Linked DNA regions of Coturnix japonica. The protein of the gene in region 1 interacts with the protein of each later gene in a pairwise test. Links are inferred from orthologs where the notes say so. Each region holds a gene or a part of one and is shown on either strand. Other genes may lie near its edges.

What was found.
Region 2: the proteins of PHYH (region 1) and PEX7 interact in a two-hybrid assay, tested with the Homo sapiens proteins (2 studies listed by BioGRID, with this or other methods). The link is inferred for Coturnix japonica from reciprocal best matches to the Homo sapiens genes PHYH and PEX7.

The regions. Positions count from the first base shown.
Region 1 is NC_029516.1:6,012,216-6,022,829, reverse strand, and holds the start of PHYH (phytanoyl-CoA dioxygenase, peroxisomal), read left to right. Parts: upstream 1-5,579; 5' UTR 5,580-5,641; coding exon 5,642-5,728; intron 5,729-6,865; coding exon 6,866-6,921; intron 6,922-7,082; coding exon 7,083-7,193; intron 7,194-7,388; coding exon 7,389-7,554; intron 7,555-7,904; coding exon 7,905-7,986; intron 7,987-9,287; coding exon 9,288-9,469; intron 9,470-10,418; coding exon 10,419-10,568; intron 10,569-10,614. UniProt on the Homo sapiens protein: Catalyzes the 2-hydroxylation of not only racemic phytanoyl-CoA and the isomers of 3-methylhexadecanoyl-CoA, but also a variety of other mono-branched 3-methylacyl-CoA esters (with a chain length of at least seven carbon atoms) and straight-chain acyl-CoA esters (with a chain length longer than four carbon atoms).
Region 2 is NC_029518.1:49,690,861-49,701,207, reverse strand, and holds the start of PEX7 (peroxisomal biogenesis factor 7), read left to right. Parts: upstream 1-4,815; 5' UTR 4,816-4,825; coding exon 4,826-5,067; intron 5,068-5,870; coding exon of another isoform or gene 5,871-5,928; intron 5,929-7,372; coding exon 7,373-7,523; intron 7,524-10,347. UniProt on the Homo sapiens protein: Receptor required for the peroxisomal import of proteins containing a C-terminal PTS2-type peroxisomal targeting signal. Specifically binds to cargo proteins containing a PTS2 peroxisomal targeting signal in the cytosol.

The DNA.
Region 1 (10,614 bases):
ATTATTTTGTTCTTTGCTCAAATACATTTTTGTGCACGCTTCTGTGATCTGTGTTTAAAATCTACATTGCCAACATTGCAGCTTGAACTTTAGCTTGTTATTCAAAATAAATATTTAATTTTTTTTTATTGCTCTTGTATAAAAGCATGAACTTTTTTGATTCCTGCCTGAATTACAGACTGGAAAGAGGAGAAATCCTCCTTACTTTTGTATATTATTGCGAGTGTAATGATACTGATTGTTGCTATTACTCCTTTGCTTGATTCTGCAAGCTGTGACGTCCCATGGTAATCTAGAATATCTCCTGCATGTCAGGACTGGGGGCAGACAGGTTATTTCCAAGTCTGTTGTCCACTTCGTTTTGGTTATTTTGGTTGTCAGCACAGAATATGCAATGATTTTGGATTGTGTCCTCTGCAAGTCTCCTGGCTGTGCCTCCTCTAACCTAAGCAAGAGTTGGTGAGCAGCCCTGTGAATGGAGTGAGTGCCAAACCCATCCTTCCTCTGAGGGTTTGTTGTAGCACATTCACTGCTAACTCTGCTCTGCCAGCCCACAGGAGCCAAAGCAACCCATGCAATTCTGCAGCATGATGGAACTGAGTGCATTTCACAGAAGCAGCTCTTTTACAAAGTTTCCCAGATTGTGGAATGATCTCCTTGATATTCAAACCAGGAAGAAGAAAACCTTTGGTAATCAATACCGCTACCAGCATGAATAACGAGGGCTCCTATCTATGAATAATGACTCACTGCAGGTGAATCTGTCTTGTGCATCAAGCAAGGCTTACATTTCTAGTCTTGATCATGGTTGACACCTGGGGCAAAACTTGGCTCATCTTTTTCCATTGAGTTATATTCTCAACAGACACCTTGTAAAGAATTAGAATTGTCTTTTCCTTTTGTGGGTAATGTGAAGCAATTAAAACATCACTCTTCTTTTCCTGGAAAACAGGTCTGTAAGTTTGATGTTCACAACGGCCTCGAAGCAGTAACTGAGTTTTTGACTTTGCTGCTCTAGGACAATAACTTGAGAGTTCTCACAGCAGTTCTGAGCACCAAAATAAAGCATCAAAACTGGCTATCTATGCAAAAAAAAAGTCATTATTTTTTATCCCCCTGTGGTTTTATGAAGTTCTGTATTCTGATATAAAGTCACGTCGGGCTTTCTGTTTGTGATGGAGGGAAAGGCTGTCACTATATGCATTACTTGATAAGATTTAAAGAGTTAAATGTGTACAGAGCGGTCAGTGCTGTGTGGAAGCATTTGTTACAAAGACTGGCTGTATTTTAAGCAGGTGCTGGGTATGTATTAGAAGCATGTACTGGGCAGGAAAATGGACTGGTTGTTAGACAACTGCTTTTCACTCGTTATGTTGATAAATTGCAATCAACCAGGTGTGAAACCAACTCTTCTTATAAACATGCTTTGAATGGCTTTGAAGCTCATCTGCAGGGGTGAAGGGTGCGTGGAGGAGGGCTGCTTCACGAGCAAGGTAAGCGAACATTCACATCAATCGAGTTCTTGTATTACTAAAACCTTTTCAGGGCGTTTTCTGGATGTTCTGAGGAAACTTCACATTGCAGCTGTTGAATCCAGCTGTGAGCAAAAGCTCTTCCAGGTGAAATGCCAGCCAAAGCTTCTCTGTTTTCTGATGGCAGGAACTTGCATGTTAAAGTTCTTCCTTGCTCTGGGCAGCTGAGATGTGGTGTTATCTCTAGTCAGAGCCGATATGAGTATTTCTGAATGTGTCAATTCAGAGTGAATGATAATGTGTTCCAAGTGTTGTGCTATCATCGCTTTATCAGATAAGGACTGCTGTGATTTGTGTAAGAACTTTTGTTTGCTACATAAAAGACAGTCAGGCCTGAGCTATAGGGTGATATGTAGTACTGCATATGAAGAGGGCTAGCAAGTTCAATGCTTTAAACGATCAGTAGATGCTTCCAGTGCTTTGATACCCTTTTAAATAGGGCTTTTTGAGATTCGGGTATCAAAACAATGTGAGAAGTAGAACTCCAGTGTTTGGCTTTGTGCAGTCACAGAAATGTAATGTGCTTTTATTTATGTACACAGGTATCTGCAACTTCCATAGCAGTCGTGATGAGAAGGCAACTTGTAAAGCTCCGTGGAAGCTGTGAGAGCAGGAGAGAATAAGAAGGAAGAATTTTAATAGGTGGAAAACTGACTGGTCTGAACAGCAGGATTGATAAGTAGCATGTATTTGTAGAGACTAGTGTCTGTTACAACCTCTATCATGTTGGTTTCCTCAGCTTTTCCTTTTTCTCCTGCATAAGGGGAATATAAGACACCAAAACTATCTGTCATGTCACATGAAGTTGGATTTTTAAGGTATTCTTTAGAACAGAATTTTTGCTGTTAATTGAGGACTGACCAACTGTTTTCTGCTTAGGAGATATGGAAGTTAGTGTGCATGGGTGCCCACCCACAGTGCAGAAGTTGGGGCCAGCTGTAATCCTGGGTGTATTTCTCACACTTGAGATGCTGGGCTGCAGTGCCTCGGTGTGTGGGTAGGGGTTGCCCTAAGCTTGAAGTTTCAGCTGGAGCCAGGATCTGAAGGCAGGACGTTGCTTCTGTAGAAGGTAGTGTTGTTTCCTTCTATTGCCTGTGTGTGTGATTCTGTGTGATTGCCTAAGATGTGTTGAAGCTGATGCTGTCTTTTCAGCCTATGCTGTTTTGAGCTCTTGTTTGTCATGTTGGCCTGTGTGCAGTGAAATATCTCCAGTCATTGTCATTTCTCATTCTCTCCATACCCCCTGTTATAGTATTTGACCATTCCCATTCTGCATACTTTGCTCCTTAAATCTAATAGGAATTTTTGCTGTGGTTTGTGCCTATTGTCTCTTAGCTTTATTGCATATCTTCAGAAAGCGTTTGTCTTTCTTCTCTCTATCCCATAGTAAGTACCTGCAGACAACTGTAGGGTCTCTCTGCAGCCTTCTCTTTTTCCAAGTGAACTATTTTCTCAGCCTTTCCTTGTGCATCATATACATAAGCCCCAGAGGACAGACCATACCAGCAGTGTCCAAGGCAGGAAGGGTACCAAGTCCCTTGACTTTTTCCATGCCCTTTTTCTAATAGCCTCCTTCTAGTTATTCTGTACAGGGTCTATGTTTTCCTTTGTCTCCCTTCTCCTGCTAATGCGTATACAAAAGCCCTTCATGAAGCTTCTGACAATGAAAAGTGAACTTATGTGTCGGTGGTAGATGAGACAGCAACACCAAATCTACATCTGTTTTCCTTCACGTCTAAGTTGAGAAGGCTCATTTAGTTGAATTGCGGCAGCTGCCACTTCCCACTGCAGTAAACTAGGCTTTCAGAAGACCTCATCTTTGGAATTATAGTTCTGATCTTAGTGTGGATTTTAATAGTCAGTTGAGATGCTTATTAAGTTACAATGCTGTGCATTAGACCCGTCTCGGTACCGCCGTAGAAATCTTGATTGTTTCATTTTTATTAGTTTTGTGATTTAATGAAGTGAAAACATTAAAGCTAAAAGCCAAATGCAAAACAGCCGTATAAAAACCTCCTATAAAACTTGGTAAACTGACAGACATAGCACTAAAAAATACTTTGCGAAGACGCAGCTGCTGTTAAATGCCATTGGTTTTAATAAAGATACAAATGTCATCGTCGGTTATCTTAACAAAGAGACTCTCCTTGTTTCTTCTCATAGGTTCATGATACTCGTTCAGAGAGTGAATGCAGCAGTCTTGTTGTGTGTCACAGTGGTGGCAATGCCTGAAATCCATCTTTTATTGTATCAAAGCACGTGTGTGGTCGTGGACTGTATTAATGTGATGGTACAAACGAAGGGCGGTCACCCCAACCACCCATTGCCCTGTGCCCAGTTGGATGAGGTCTCCGCACTCACACCAGGATGTGATGTAACAGGGTGACCCAGTAACAAGGGAGTTGCTAACGCTGCTGGCACTATGCAACAACACTGGCTTGTGCAGCAAGAAAAACAATAATTAACAAGGAATAATTGCAATCAGAGCACAGGGAGATGGGCTTCTGAAGCTTGAACTATTCTAGTTTAAAAATGCACAATGTATGCATGTATATATTGTACATGTGTTTATATATCTATGAAAGCATCTTAGTTTTCAAGCTCCTATATCAGCACAGCAGTGTTACTAACCACACATCCTTTTTGGTTTATTCTTTTTTTCAGACGTGAAAGACACTTTTGCATAAGATGCTGTTCAGCACGTGGGCCAGGAAGAAACAGCTGCGTTACAACAGGTGTGTGTCATAACTGACGTGGGCAGCGTTTGGCCTTATCTCTGTGATGGGACTTGTATTTTGAAACAGATGAAGATGTATTGGGTTCCTGATTGGCTCTGGATTGCAAAGGTGTATCTGCATAGACTGATTAGCTGTGACTAAGAGTTTTACCATAGATCAGGAGTCAAAGGTCTGATTTTTATTGCGGTAAAGAGATGTGTGCTGTCAAAGCTGCTGCTGTTGTCCCTTCATCATGCCTATATATTGCCCCCTGACTACACACTGTAGTTTTGTCTTATGAGATCTTTTTCTTTTGGGTTCCTAATCTTGTTTGTCCCGCTTGTGTGAACACCTGTGTTCTCTTATAGTCCCACAAAGCAGACATCCATGGGTTCCGTGCTGATTGAAATGTGGGTCTGCCGGCCACAAGAGCCAGGAACTGGAATGCAGTTTAGGCTTCACACCTTGTCACAGTACACCTTTACTTAAAGCACTGGGAGTTTTGCCACTGGTTTTTGAAGGCATTCAGATTTGGGGGGATAGAGGTTAAGTTCAGAATTGCTTACCATCCAAACCTTGGTTTCTGTTTATTTGTAGCACTAACACACTGCAGCTTAGTAGGTTGAGCTCTCGTTTCATCAAGGTGCTTGTTGACTTGAGCCTCCTGAAGTAGCTGGAATGCAGAGTTTTGGGGGTACACCCTGTCATCATGAGATGGCCTGGAGCAACAGCAGAGCTACACTCCTGGAGCTGTACTGCAGCAGTAATGCTGTGTCTAGAGGAGCAGGACCTGGCTGGACTGCTCATGCAGAAGGGAATGATGAACCAACTGAGCAGGTGTGAAGGTTTGCATACATTGGGCTGCCTGGCATTCAAGGCCAGGCTGGATGTAGCTCTGGGCAGCCTGGTCTGCTGGTTGCTGACCCTGCACACAGCAGGGGGTTGAACTGGATGATCACTGTGGTCCTTTTCAACCCAGGCCATTCTGTGATAAACGGATTGTCACTCTGATGGTACAGGGTAAACTAAACAATGCCATGAGGGATCTGAAGAGGAGTGGTGTGGTTCTAAACAATGTGGTGGCAGCAGGGAGCTAACAAAAATGACAACTTTTGGAGCTTTGATCTCAGATATGATTGTTTCCAGTCCCTTTATATTCAGCGTTAAGTCAGATGAGAGGGATCTTCCCCGCGTCCTCCCAGCCTCCAGCGGACCCTCCCATCTACAAACCCTGCCAGCTCTCAGCTCCTGACATCCTCCTTTCTGAGCATGCACGGCTGCCGGCGCATGTGCAGCCCATGCGAAGTCTGCAGAGCATGATGGGGCTGCGCTCCTCCCCTGCTGCGTATAAAGGCTCGGGCTGCGGGTCGGGCGCTCCGGCTGCGGGGCGCAATGGAGCAGCTGGGGAAGCGGTCGGGGCCGGCGGCTCGGCTGGACGCCATCCTGCGGCACCTGAACCCGCGGGCAGCCCCTGCTCTCGTATCCTTAATGCGTCGGGTGGGATGTTGGCACTGTGGGGTGGGAGCTGTGTGCTGGCTGTGCGGGTTGGCGCTCCAGGCTGGGATGCAGCAGGGTTGTTGCGTGCCATGGAGCTGTGCTTGGTCTTATGGGCTCAGCAGACGGTGTACTTGAGATATGAATATTCATAAGGTTGGAATCTGCATATTATCTGTATATCGGATATATATACACAGCAGTTTGGGGGGAGATAGCACACAGGCTGTAGAATTAAAGGCCACCTCAAACACGCAGGGAAATGGAAGATTCAGAAGGCAGCCACACAGCTGGTGTTATTTGGATGTTGGACTTCTTAGGTCACGTAGCAGTGGTGCTGGTAGAGCTCCTGGGGATTCTCCCGCTGTAACTGACTCCCAGCATATGGACTGCAGATGAAACTGATGACAAAACCTACTTATACTAGAAGAGCTCGTGCCTTTATGGCACGTGGAAAAGGTTGTGGTGAGCCATGGAGGAAGGTCTTCAATCTCTATAAAGCTCAGGAGTCTCCCAGTTGGACCAGCACATAGAGATCCACTTGATAATATTCCTTTTTGTTGTCCTTTCCCCTGCGTCAAGTTTCAGTACCATTGTGCAAAGCTGTTGTGAGTGTTCATTACCAAGTGATGCTTCATTGTTCTATGGATGAGGTTGTACTGTCTCTACATAAGGGAATGCAGGTTTTCTTCTGTCTGTGCTTTCCCTGTGAGGTTTGGAGGGATCTGCTCTCTGCAGTAACTGGAGGCAGAGCAGGTTTGTGCCACCGCTGTGTGAATGTGAAGTCCCAGGTTCATCTCATTTGAATTCTGGCTCTGAATTTGGCACAGCAGCAATTGGAGGGGAGAGATTGAAAAGCACCTGCAGGGGACAGCACAGGCTTTGGGTAGGTTTGACTGTTCTCTGGAGCATAGGGAGACCAGGCAAGTAAACATCTCCAATGAGCGTCTCCTTAAATATCTTCATGTTCTTGGAGATAAACCCTTTGAAGTCTCGGGCATTGTACTGACTTTCCTATATGTGTGGACAAGGCGCATGCTTTTATTGTGAACCATACTGTAGGATTCAGGATGTGTAGCTGTTCTACTCTTTTGTGCTGCAGTTCCTTGATTTTCATTCCAGACATTCGTTCCTACTTCAGCACAAGTTAGTGCTGTTCATCAGCCGGGGAAGTTTCGGTAAGTTATAACCTCATTTATAGAGAGGAAAAGCCAAACTAACAAAGCACAGAACCTGCCATGGGGAGGATTTATCACTGTTTTCCTTCAGGCATTGGGTGGGGGTCTGGTGCTGCTGTTGTACCTGCTGTGCACTAACGTGTTTCCCTTGTGTTTCCCAGCTTTACTCTGGACAACAATATCTTGACTACAGAACAAAGGCAGTTCTATGAAGACAACGGTTATCTGCTCATTAGGAAGCTTGTTTCAGATGAAGACATTGAGCGTTTCAGGTACAGGATGCTTTACCTAAGGTGCTTGTGGGTCTTATGTACAGCAGTATCCTGGGGAAGCTTTAGGAAGCTACATGAAGTTGGGCTTTAACTGAATGCGTGTGCGTGGTGTTGCTGGATTCAGTGTGTTTGAGGAGGGTCGTTTGGCCAAAAATAGAGAAAATAGACCATCTTCTTATTCCCTGTCCTTTTCAGGAAGGAGTTTGTGAGGATCTGTAAGAAAGAGGTGAGAGTTCCCGGAGCCATGATTATGAAAAATGAGGCCCTGAGATCCCAGTACGGCCAGACTGAAAGCGTCGTTAACAAAGTGCAGGACTTCCAGGAGAACGAGGAGTTGTTCAGATACTGTACTCTGCCACAGGTAACAAAGAACCAGCTTAAATTAAAACAGAACGGTTGTGGAAAAGTATATACGAATTAATTGGGGTTTTAATGCCTACCTGAAGAAACTATTTTGGTTGTGCTGAAGCCATATCCATTATCCTTAAAGCCTCTGCATGTCACTCCCATAAACGTATTAATGAGGGAAGATACTAAACCATCCTCTGTTCATTCTGCATGAACATGGGATGGATGGAGGCCTGGAGGGGAAACTTAAAGCAAAGTTCATCAGCTCCTGTGGTGGGTGACCCACCTGCTGTGCCCTCATCCTCAGCAATTTCATCTCTCATGTTTCTGATAATTTTTTTTCTGATGTCATCTTCCCTGTAGATCCTCAAATACGTTGAGTGCTTCACTGGGCCCAACATAATGGCAATGCACACCATGCTCATCAATAAACTTCCAGATTCTGGTAAGGAGATCTTGGGAAAGATAAGTACAGAAATTAATGTGCGTATGTTGTTTATCTGGCCAGAACTGAGGCACCTTGTGGTATAGGTTGTTTTCTTTAAATCACGACTTACTGTGATAACATTCATTGTATTTCAGTTTCAGGTGTTTTTTTTTGTTGTTGCTGTTGTCTGTTTCATATAAAGACTGTTATTTTCTTGGCTGCACCACTGATTTTCAGGGTGGGCCAGCGAGCTCCCTATTCAGCCAGCTGCACTTGCACAAAGGCTCGTTGTTGGAAACATGACATGCTTTTAAGCTTGACTTTTCAAAGGTGTTGAAAATAAGTGTTTCTGTGGACGTCGGTGAAAGGCAATAAATACAGAGATCATCCTTTGCTCGGAGTTTATATGCTCCTGACCTCACTGTCAGTTGGTGCACGCCCAGTGGTTCTATATGAAGGTATTTGAACGTGTGCTAAAGGAAGGATTTTGAAGCCTGGCTTTGGCTGCTGCTGGAAATTCAAATCATTACTGATACGAGAGCGATGAATAGGAAGATGTTCTGGCTTTGTCTGTCCAAGGTGTAAACTCCATGGCAAAATAAATCATCTAATATGTAAAAGGTTTTGGTGTGGAAGAGGATGATATGGATACGGTTCCATTTCCATAGTGGGAAGAGAAGTAGCAATCAAATTTTCAGTAATGTTTTTTGGTCTAGGCTTCAGGGGGAAAATAAATCTTTAGGAAGAAGGTTAGTAGAGTGCTGGGTAGACTTTGTGAGGAGATTTAAAACAAGAAGAGAGAAGACTGAATAAACATCTGTTGGCGCAGCTCAGGGGGGGGTGATTCTGCTTACAACACAGCAGTAGATCAAATGGCTTCTGGATAAGCCTTTCCAGTGCTGCTGTTGAAAGTCTTTGTACTGGGAGAGGTTACGCAATACTGTGTAGGTTAAACGTTCACAGATTGGACAGCAGCCATGAAAGGCAAAAGCGTGGAGAGTGGATGGTGGAGGCCACCAAAGGAGGAGTCTTCTGAAGGGTCACACAGCCAGGCAGCCTCCTGGCACATGCTGTATTCTCATGCCGTTGCTGACGTAAGTGCATGGATTTGCTTTTGGTCTTGGACTCTAGGGATGAGAGCACAAGCTAACCCATTTCATTTCCAAATCAGTGGTGGTCTGGAGCATATGTAAAATCAGCAAAGCCTTCATGCTTGCAAGCAGTGTCTTCTTTAGACAGGATATGAGTGCAGTGTCTTCATAGGAAGGAAGAGACCATGCCTTATTTGTTAAGTTGAAGATTTTGGCCTTGTGTTGCAGATAAACAGACTTTTCTCCACCCCATGCATCAGGACTTGCACTATTTCCCATTCCGGCCGGCAGACCGCATCGTGTGCTCCTGGACTGCCATGCAGAGGGCTGATGAGAACAACGGGTGCCTCGTTGTCCTGCCAGGGACACACACGTTGCCCCTGAGGCCTCACGGATATCCAGAGTGGGAGGTAGGGTTGCATGGAGGCACTGTGTGTGTTGGGACCGCGCTGCAGCTGGGGAGGGTTCACAGGGAGAGGTGGTGAGCATGTCAGAGCTGAGGCTTCCAACCATGGCTTTTCTGCCTGTCCAAACACTCACTGTTGCTTTCTGGCAGAGCTGCTTAGTTTACTTCACTCCATATAACTTAGCAGCGGCTCTCCTGAACCTGGGCAGATTTGCTCTTGTACCCAACTTCACCTAAAGCCCTGTCGAGTGAGGTTACTTTGTTTCTTCATCAAGAAATGCCTGGTTAATCATGGAGAAATGTTGGCCTGCTCTCCAGAATACTCTCCAAAATTTGAACCTGGGTGTTGGAGGGGATCCTTTTCTGGAGCTGAATTGCAACACCTAGTTCAGGGCCAGGACCTCAGGTTTCTGAATAGTCTGGCATATTGTTGCATGACTGCATGAATACATGCAACCATTTTCCAGTGTCCTTGCCAAGTCTGAGGACTCCCTTCTCCTGTGAATTAATTCCTGCTTGGTGAGCACGTGTGCTTTGCTGTAGGAGAGAAACAGAAAACAAACAGCTGGCTGGAGTGAAATATCTGGTGTTATCTTCATCTGAAGAACAGATGCTACCTCACCTGGCCCAGCACAGATGATGGTTTTACAGGGAGCAGAAAGCCGGACTCCAAAGGTGCTCTTCTCTGTTCTCTCCAGCAGAGAAATTCTTGGTTGTCAGCATAGAGCTTCAGAAAACAGAAGCAGTGTTAACCTGCTGTACCTCAGACTTGTAGTAGGATGACTGGTTGGCAAGCAGGCGGGCTCTTAGTTGAACATACTGAGTGGACTGCCCAGAAGCTCACAGATCAGGAGCCTCCCTGCTTTTCTTTCACTGGAAATCTGCACTTGCTCCATCTTTAACTGAGTTATTTTAACTCAGCTTTTTATTTTATGTTATTTTATTTTTCCTAGGGTAAAACAAACAAATTGTTTCACGGGATACTTGATTACAACGAGAAGAGTCCCAAGGTTCACCTTGTCATGGAGAAGGGAGACACGGTGTTCTTCCATCCCCTGCTCATTCACGGCTCTGGGATAAACAAGACATCAGGTTTCCGAAAGGTAAAAAACCAACTAATGCTCTGTTTATGTATATTTAAACTGATCA
Region 2 (10,347 bases), on another chromosome or scaffold:
ACACGGGGAAATGGTTTTAAGTTAAAAGAGGGAAGATTTAGGTTGGATGTTAAGGGGAAGTTCTTCACTAGGAGAGTGGTTAGGCCCTGGAACAGGCTGCCCAGGGAGGTTGTGGATGCCCCGTCCTTGGAGGTGTTCAAGACCAGGTTGGACAGGGCCCTGGGCAACCTGATCTAGTAAAGGTGTATGTTTGGTGGCCCTGCCAGGCAGGGGGGTTGGAACTACATGATCCTTGAGGTCCCTTCCAACCCAGGTAATTCTGTGATTCTGTGAGAAGCCGAGCAGCTCTGTCTCCTGGCGTGCTGCGGGCAGCGCTCTGAGCCGGGGGTGCCGGTTCGTCGGCAGCTGCTGGGATGGAACGGGTCCTGACTTGCCTGAGATTTTAAAGCGTCCTTTCACCAGCAGATGAGTTTTGATTCAGACGAACCTGTTTTTGCATAAAACAAAGGGGTGGGCAATGACCTCGTGTCCCTGCCAGCTGAGGGGGTTTTTGCTGTTTAGCTCGGGGTTGTTTTTGTTGCTTCTTGCTCAAGGACACGGTGACTGGCACTGGGGCCTAGCAACAAGTGAGATGCTTGTGAGTGCTCTGCTGTCTGGAGTACTGTGTCCAGGTTTGGGGCCCTCAGCACAAGGAAGATGTGGAGCTGTCAGAGCAGGTCCAGAGGAGGGCCTTGAAAATGACCAGAGGGCTGGTGCCCCACTCCTATGAAGTGCTGGCTGAGGGAGCCAGGCTTGTTCAGCACGGAGAAGAGAAGGCTCCCAGGAAACCTCATTGGAGTTCTCCAGTACTTGATGGGAGCTTATAAGCAGGAGGGGGACTGAATTTTTATACAGTCTGATTGTGATAGGGCAAGGGGGGATGGCTCTACGCTAAAAGGGGAGATTTGGGTTAGATGTTAGGAAGTAATTCTTCACTTGGTGGATGGTGAGGCACTGGAACAAGTTACCCAGAGAAGCTGTGTATACCCCATCCCTGGGGGCATTTAAGACCAGGTTGGATGGGGCCCTGAGCAGCCTGGTCCAGAGGATGGTGCTAACCTTACCCATGGCAGGAAGGGTGGAACTTGACCATCTTTAAGATCCCTTCTAAGTTAAGCTATTCTATGACCTTAGAGACAGGGACTCCGCCACTTCCCTGAACAGCCTGTTCCAATGTTGTCTCTGTGAAGGAATTTTTCCCCAGCATCCATTCTAACATCCATTCTAACCATCCCCTGGTGCAACTTGAGATGGTTTCCTCATGTTCTATTACTTTTCACCTGTGAAAAAAGACCGACACTTTCCACTCTGCAACATGGAGCAACGTAGCACTGCGCATTATTAATGTTTGTGTCCTACCAATAGGTCCATCTGCTTTGTGCATTATAGTGGATCTTGTTGGGATAAAATCAACTTCCTGGCATGGATCCTGTTCCTGTATTGTTTATTTCCATTACTTCTGTAAGACAAGGATAAATTCTGGAATAGTTAGGAGAAATTAGTCACCTTTGGGAGCTCTGTTTGCGTCGATAGGTTCCCATTTTCAGTGAGATATGCCTGGCATTTGCTTCTGCTGATAAGGAATGGGTAAATGGGGTGGGAAGATGACGAGCAAACGAAAGACTAATTTAAAGGGGGAAGTTAATATTTGCTAATCTGCAATATACAGTAGGTTATTGTTTCTTGCTCTGGTCAGAACGACAATGAATGTTTTCCTAAATAAAGTAGTTTTCCACAAAATGCAGAATCGGTGTTAATCCATTCAGCACTGCTCTTACATCACCTTACAGGAAGCAAGAACAATGTGCCTCTGTTGTTCTCTAGAACAGCCCATGTTTGTCAAGCACAGAAGGAAGTCCCAGACTGAAAGGAGACGGAAGCAGCATGCTATTCTACTTAGTGCTATGACTCGTGAGGCCTGTGTCATTATTAGTGCCATGTCCATTCCAAACACAAGACAGGTCTTCTGTAGATTTGGCTGGATGTGATGTTGAGCCGTAAAAAGAAACGAAAAAACAAGTAATAAAAAAGGAAAAATAACCTGGAATAACCCACACAAATCTTCAGCATACCTTGTTCACTTGTTTCTCAAGCACTGTCGAATTTACATCTCTAGTACCAGATGGTTTACACCCGATTACAGTTCAGTATCACCCTGTTCCTGTTGTGCTTTTTCTAATGACAAAAACTTGCAGCAAGCAGCGTTAGCTGCAAATCTGTTGGAATAATTCCATCTCTTCCTTGTAGGTTTTCAAAGCAATACATCACTGTCCTTTTGCTTTAACCATAATTAGAATTCTAACAGCCAGGAATTTTTCATTCTTATTAGTTGAAAATGCAATTTGTGTTGGGTGACAAACACTGTGTTGCAGATGCTAAAGACTTGATTAAGCCACTCAAAATGAGATCGAGACCAAAAGAGGTAGTTTCATTTTAAGCATTCTGATTTAGAGATATGAAATTTGAAGCATTTATGTCAAAATTATAACTTTTTTTTAATGTATTACAGCCATGAGTGTCCAGTAGAGGGAGAAAAGTGACTCAGTGATGCATTTTCAATTTTCTTGGTTGTATTGGAGATTGATGGAATGGACTAAAATATATTCCTATGGGAGTCTGTGGGAGTAAAGTTCAGTATGTTTCAATTATGGGTGTAAAGAAAACCATCCACGAACTTAAAGAACCTTGCAGACATAAAGATCCAAATGAGATCTCAGAAGTACACGTACTGTTCCTTTTCCCATGAGCGCTAGAAGGTAACTTGCACAAAAATAGAAATGGTTAAACTGAAATAAACAACAGCTTATTTCAAAAATTAAACTGGGTAGGCAGCTGTAGACAATCAGACGTAGCCTATATGTTCAGTACTAAGAAGGCAAGAAGGCAGTGTTTTGTTATGGGAGGGTCGACTGCCAATCTTTAAAAGAAAGTAAGTCTATGATTGAGATAAGCATTTAATGCACCAAGTAAGCACTGGGGGCAGGTAAATAGTCTGGTGTTCGATCTGATCATGTAACAGTAATAGCATGGGCTATTACTATATTACCATAATTCACTTACTGAATTATGACACGGTGCACAGAAATGGCAATCAGCAGAACCTACAACTCTCACACTTCTTTCTGAATCTTATATTTCTTCCTCTGCTACAGTGTGTTGTTTTTTTTCCTCCTCTCACTTCTTCTGTCCTTTTTAACTTCCAGAAATGTCTCAGCTTTCCCATCTGACCCCGTGAGCTTTTTCCCTTTGCATTCATTCCTGCAGCTTCCTTGGTTACTTCCAGTTGTTTATTTTCACTCTTGCCGGCTTTCCAGTCTCGGGATGCTAAATGCTTCCCTTAAAGCTTCGACTCATGCAGCCTAATGACTGTATGGAAATTTCAGCTGGGAAAACCTCTTCATTCCTTTCAGTCAGTAAACATTCACTGTCAAAGAGTAAAATATTGATGGCATTAAGCCTAATGCATGACTCAATAACTAGAAAAGAGCTTACTGCATTCCCCAGCGTTTTAAGCTGTTTATCCTTAAGCCTAAAGGAACAGCTCACAGTCTACTTTCTGTGATAGAAAGGCTCATTTTGCAATGTTTTATTATTGTTGTTGTTGTTGTTGTTGTTGTTGTTGTTGTTGTTGTTGTTATTATTATTAATGCCTGCAGTATTCTCTTGCTGATAACAGATTCTTTAAGGATTTGTGTATGTAGAAGTGCTTGCCACCAGCTCAGCTCATGCCTAAACTGGCTGTCAGACAAGCAAGCTGAGGGAATGACGTGCATGTGTCTATGGCAGAACAGAGATCAGTGCTCTGAAAAGGAGGAGAACTGGATGCAGGGATCCAGTCAGCATCTTGACCGCATGTTCCAATGCCAATAAGGTGCGTAGGGTGATGAGCTGAGCTCGAAGAAGTGACTGCAGTATAAACAGAGCCTATACTTTGCATACTGAGAGGGTGGGGAATCAATTCATTGAAGTGATGCTTTGTGAGCAAAATACTCGCAGTGGAGGGCTGTTGGTGGAGCACGGCTGCCATCTAACGGGGCGTTGTGGCTACACGGGCTTTGTGCTAGACAGGGGGGTTGGAACTACATGATCCTTGAGGTCCCTTCCAACCCGGGTCATTCTGTGATTCTGTGATTCTGTGTTGGGAGGAGCCGGCCGGTAGCACAGCTGGTTTCTATGCTGCTATGAAACGCTACTGTTACCGGCTGTCCTTTGTCCCTCTGGGATTTACTCACATGCCCTGGACCCTAGGCGGAAATACTCGCGTTTCCCTACTCTCTCTGCTCGTAAAATAGCTTTTCAGAATCACAGAATTATCAAGGTTGGAAAACACCTAGAAAATCATCTAGTCCAACCATTACAAATACTTCCCAGCTAAATCATATTCCTCAACACAACATCCAGACTTTTCTTGAACACTCCCATGGTCGGTGACTCCACCACCTCCCTGGGCAGTGCATTCCAATGCCTGACTGCCCTTTCTGAGAAGTAATACTTCCTAATGTCCAGCCTGAATCTCCCCTGGCACAGCTTTTTTATTATTTATTTATTTATTTATTTATTTATTTATTTATTTCTCTAGTTGTTACCGTATCTTCCTTTCAATCTCGATACACAAATACTTCTGTTAGGAAGTGAAACAAAACGGCTATTTCTAAAGGCCATCGAAGCGTGAATGCACAAGCTTGTCTGTGGGGAAATAAACGGTATGGGGAACTAGTCTTTCTCATAACGTTCTGTCTGCTCCTTGGCCATCGATGTCTACAAACACCCTATTAACACGTCCTCAAAACAAAGCATTCTCCTGTCCCATGGTCAAGAAGGACCTCTGTCGGTGAACCCCGAAACTATGTGCCCGCTATGCTGCCAGCGCCAAAGATGGCGGCACCGCCTCAGCGTGGCGGGCGGGACTCTTCCGACGCAGCTCAGCGGTGCCGCCTCCCAAGCTCGGGCCGGGCCGGGCCGGGGCCATGGGCACGGCGGGCGGCGGCGTGCTGAGGCTGCCGGGGCTGCACGGCTACGCGGCCGAGTTCTCGCCATACTGGCCAGGCCGTGTGGCCTGCGCCGCTGCGCAGTACTACGGCATCGCAGGTGATGTACTTGAGGCAAACGGGCCGACTGATGGTATTTTCTCCCTGTGACATAGTGTAGCGCTGCCCTTGTGTTGGGTGCTCGGCCGGCCCGGTGGGGGTGCAGAACAGGCTGCCTCGGGGTTGGAGGAATTTGCATTTCCACTCTATTTTCACAGAGTGGAAATAAATACAAACAAAAGCTACATCTGCTGTGTTACTGAAGAGGTAGAAAGGAGCTGGTCCTGGTATACCTATAACACAGGGCCAATGCTTGTGTGTGGGGGTGCACTTAGGGCTGACAGTAGCAGGACACGGGGAAATGGTTTTAAGTTGAAAGAGGGAAGATTTAGGTTGGATGTTAGGGGGAAGTTCTTCACTAGGAGAGTGGTTAGGCTCTGGAACAGGCTGCCCAGGGAGGTTGTGGATGCCCCGTCCTTGGAGGTGTTCAAGACCAGGTTGGACAGGGCCCTGGGCAACCTGATCTAGTAAAGGTGTATGTTTGGTGGCCCTGCCAGGCAGGGGGGTTGGAACTACATGATCCTTGAGGTCCCTTCCAACCCGGGTCATTCTGTGATTCTGTGACTTCTGTGCAGGAGGTGCTGCTTTTCCAGCCTCAACCACAGGTGTACTGGGGGAGGAGAACTTGATGTAAATGAAATCCTGTTTTGGAGAGCAGAAGAGGCAACAGGCTGTTGCACAACTAACTGTGTGGCCTCTTAAAGAAGTTTAGCTTCCTTACGCTCACAGGAGCTATCACAGAACTTGTAGGACCTTTGGTGTGAGCAAGGAGTTGTGATGTTTGGTTATACTGTGCTGTTTTAGGTTGTGGAACTCTGGCAGTGCTGGAACAAAATGAAACTGGGATTGTCCTGCTCAGGAGGTAATGCTGTAAATATTCTCTGTTGTGAAAATAAGGTGTAAACCTGTATTGTTGTTTGTAGAAAACCCATCCCGAACATTTTGGTGTATTGTTATCAATGTAAACTGTTGTATCTGTACTATATTGTCTGCTGTACACATATATTTTTATCGAGGTGCAAATGATTGGCTTACATTCCACGTCTCATTACAAAAAGTAATTCAGATGACACCTTTTCCATAGTGTAAGCCGTTTTATGGAAAACTGGCAGTGTAAATTAAAAGCTCTGACCCAGCTTGACATTGGAAGTTTGGTTGTTATTGCAGGTGTCACCTCTGTTTATCCCTTTAAGGTTGGCTTAGATTGAAAATAGAGCAGGAAGCTGGGATAAGTCAAGGAAGTCCTTTCTTGGAGATGGAATGCTCCAAGAGAGGAGTTTGGTCCATGTTCTGGGTGGGAGAAGGGGAGGGGTTAGTGCTTAGCCTCTATTCACCTAATTATGCAAACAACAGTTGTTTAGATTAAGAAGGGAAATGAGATATAAGTATTAAGCAAGAAATTAGAAAAATCTGATAAGCTGTTTTTAATTCATAATTATCCACCTGACTCTCTGAAACTGTTAAACACGCTCTTCATTCTACAAAGTGTTCTGTTCATTTCTGTGTTTCTAGAGACTCCACTTATTCTGTGGTGGAAAGTCCTGTGCTTTCCTGAGCACCGAGCTATGCCATTTTCCCCATAGAAGCTTTCTGTGTGTGTGCCTTTCTCTTCATAATTACTGCAGTGTGCTATGAAGCTTAATCTGAGCTGAGTTAAACCTTCAGTGAGAGGGGGGTAAATAGGTCGTATTTACTATGAGATAACAGTGTGGTTATTAATAGGTGTTGCAGAGCAACCAGCACACGGTACTTGATCCTGGAGGATGAATGGGTGGTGTGCTGAAAGCCCTTTTTAGGAGTTACAGAGATCTTTAATATTTTCATGACTGCTCTTCTCTTGGTTTTTCATTGTCACTCAGATTCTTAATGGTGTTGTGGATTGAATAGAGACCTCCCAACATGGTTTTATTTCTTTGATTACCACAGTTATTGTGGACTGCAGGCTCTGACCACTGTAGCAGCAGCATCCTGGAGAGATGGTAGGTTAGTCTGAGATGTGTAGCACCTCTCATCTGACTTCTCAGCAGTTTAGAACTGAAGTCAGATTCCATTCTCTGTGTCTGAGGTCCTTGGCTCACTTACACTTTAATTGACCTACTCTGACCGTAGTCAACCTATTCTTGTAGAAGTTAACATTGTATCCAGTAAGTTGCTTATGAGGAGATTCACTGGAAACTGAAATGGGTAAATAAGCTGTTCAGAATGGTAAGCAGGTTGATTATAAAAAGCTACTGTCTTTGCACACAGCTAGTCCGGATTTGTGTTATGCTTTCCCATGGACAAATATCTTCATTGTTTCTGTTCAGCTTTGACTGGAATGACGGCCTGTTTGATGTGACATGGAGTGAGAATAATGAGCACGTGTTGATCACTTCTAGCGGGGATGGGTCTCTGCAGATCTGGGATATAGCGAAGCCCAAAGGTCCACTGCAAGTCTATAAGGAGCACACTCAGGAGGTAAATCCAGCAAACTGCAGGAATTTGCTGGACTGTCTAATACTTGAATTACTAAAGGGGATATTTGAGCACTCAAAATCAAAAGTGTTTTCTGTCATCTATTTTTTTTTAACTTTGTTTGGGCCAATGATTTGAATTTAAAGCTTCATGTTATTTTCAGTATAAAGTTAATATATTATACATATTCATTTGCACATTCACACTCGTGTCGTAGGTAACTCTTAGTCTGATAAATGTAATAAATTCAGAAATAGAGTCTGTGGTTCCTTCTAAACTAAGTAACCATTGAGTTGTATGAAAGTCATTCTGTAGCCTTAGAGGACATTGTTGGATAGGCCAAAGTCAGGCAGCTGATGCATATAGCTGAGTTATCCTTGAGGGTACAGAATGATAGAAATTATATCAATCCTGAGGACTTTTGCATCTGCTTGTCCTTTTCCATTCTGGCATCTCTGAGTTCTTGCTCAGATCAACAATGGTCAGATATTGGGACAGCATGTATTTTTTTTTATTATATTTTTTATGCCTTGGTTTGATGCAACTGATTTCAATTTGCTTAATGCCTCAGTTTCTTTTACTGTATGTTATTGGCAGTGAAAAAGCTACACTCATTCTCATGTTCATACATCTGCACATTTTAAGGGGCTTTTATGCCTCACCATACTTATCTTCCTCTAAGTGATTTTTTTATTATTATTATTTTTTACCCTGTTTTTCCTCACGCTTTTCTTCTAACTTTATACTCTTAGAAGTCTTAGGACTTCAGATGTGATCAGTCTTAGCTTGGATTAGTAACACTTTATCTTAGTGAAATAAATGTGAATGAAATAAGTTAGTGTGTATGTAGTCAACAATTAACTGTGGGTATTCAGTTTTGTTTTCAGTTTTTCAGTTATTTTTCTGGTATTTTTCAGGTATTCAGTTCATCCATTCTTTTCAGATACTGAACACAAGACTATATCAGTCTTATGTTTTTTTCTTTGTAATTTTGCCACTTTGGCTTAATACATATACTGTGTAAATAAGGAATTTTGAGATATGTGTGGTTGTAATCAGGATTATATGTCAGTGTTCAAAGACTGATAGAAAGATGTAGGCAAGGCATAATACCAAATTATCTTTTGTCTCCATCTCTTTGGAATTCTGTCCATAGGATTATTTTGGTTCTGCTACACCATCTGTTGTTTGTGAAGTGAGAATTTCTGTGTCCAAGTCCTGGTTTAGCAGGGAGCATGGGGGGTGGATGCATTCAACTGTGAGTTGGAAAGACAGTGTAGGACGCATGGGCTAAGTGTTTACTTTGAGATATCAGGGTTCTGTATTGATTCTTTGTAAGTGTACGTTAAAAGGATAGATCTCAGTGGGAATATAACTAATAAGCTGTGGTAAACACTGAGAGACAGTGCTCTTTAAAGTCATTGATCACTTCTTAATCTGTAATCCATCTGATGTTTGTAATGATGGTTTTGTCACTGATTTTTGTAGTATTTCCAATGATGGGGACCAGTTTCTTGTTTTCTAAATGAGATTGTTCTCCCCCTCAAAAATAACATAATTTAAAAGCACATCTTTCTTATTTAAGGGCAGTGAGTTTTATTCCAGCACCAACCAACTGCTGATTCTTGGGAATAAAATTGTCTGATTTACTTTGGTTTTGATGAGGTGTCACTGGAATGTGAGACAGTACTTAAATGCAAAGACTCACTTTACAGGACATATTTACTTAATTTTGAGCTACATTTTGGTTTCACTTCTTTCCTTCATCTTGTTTTCATCTTACCTGGGACATTTCTTATTACAGTGTTCAAACATAAATTCATTAATGTTCTATGATTGAAGATGAGCAGTTAAAGTTTGTGCTGTGTTATGAGCTCTTCTCAGTTGCTCAGTGCAGTTTATTTTGAAAGTTCTGTAAATTTATGTTGGATGATAGCATGAAATGTAAGAAGTATAAAAGTGGTCCTTGTTTGGTTCTCTGGCACTTTCTTCTTCTCATTCTCTTCCTATTACATGGACCTGTTGCATGCCAAATGAAAACAGCTCTTGCTTTTTCTACGCCTGTTGTCTGTTTGGCTTGTAATCCTTGCCTGGAGGAGAGTTTGTCCGGGTATCATTATCTGTTGTGCAGCCACAGCTGTGTCTGCCGTATGTGTTCAGGTCACTGTCATAACATGTCTTCAACTGATCTGCATGCTGATGCCCTTTAGCTGAGCTGACACAGGTACATATTTCTCAGGTATGCTTTTCTTTCTTGGAGATTCTGGCTGTGTATATGGCAGCACAACATTTGGAGTGAGCAGAATTCCTAGGGCTATTGCATGAATGACGCATACTGTGTAGCACCGTAAAATGACAGTAGGAGTTACATGCAATACCATCGTCCGGATTCATGGGGAAGGAGAGAAAGCTGTGTTAGCAAGGAGCTCAGGAGCCATGTGGGAGAACTGTGATGTCCTCTGTTCTTAAAACATGAGCGTGACTTGTTTGCTTGTGTTATTGTTATTTTAATAGGAGAAGACAGGCTGAAAAAGGAACTGTGATACTGGTAGTAAGCTTACAAAGGTAGAATAGCCAAGAGGAGAAAGGCACAGTTCGGAAGAACAAACAGAAGAATTACTGTTCAGTTTATTATTTGGCTTTTGTCAAATAGTGTGTGGTTATCTTGTACATTTAGGTTATAACCTCCTCACACAAGAGAGCTTGCACGAAGTGGTGCCAGAGCAATAAGCCTTTCATATATGGAAACAGAATATTGTGCAGTAAAGAGGGAAGATTGCAGGTGATGGGTTCTTTTTTATGGACAATGATTGCCATCAACTTTTGG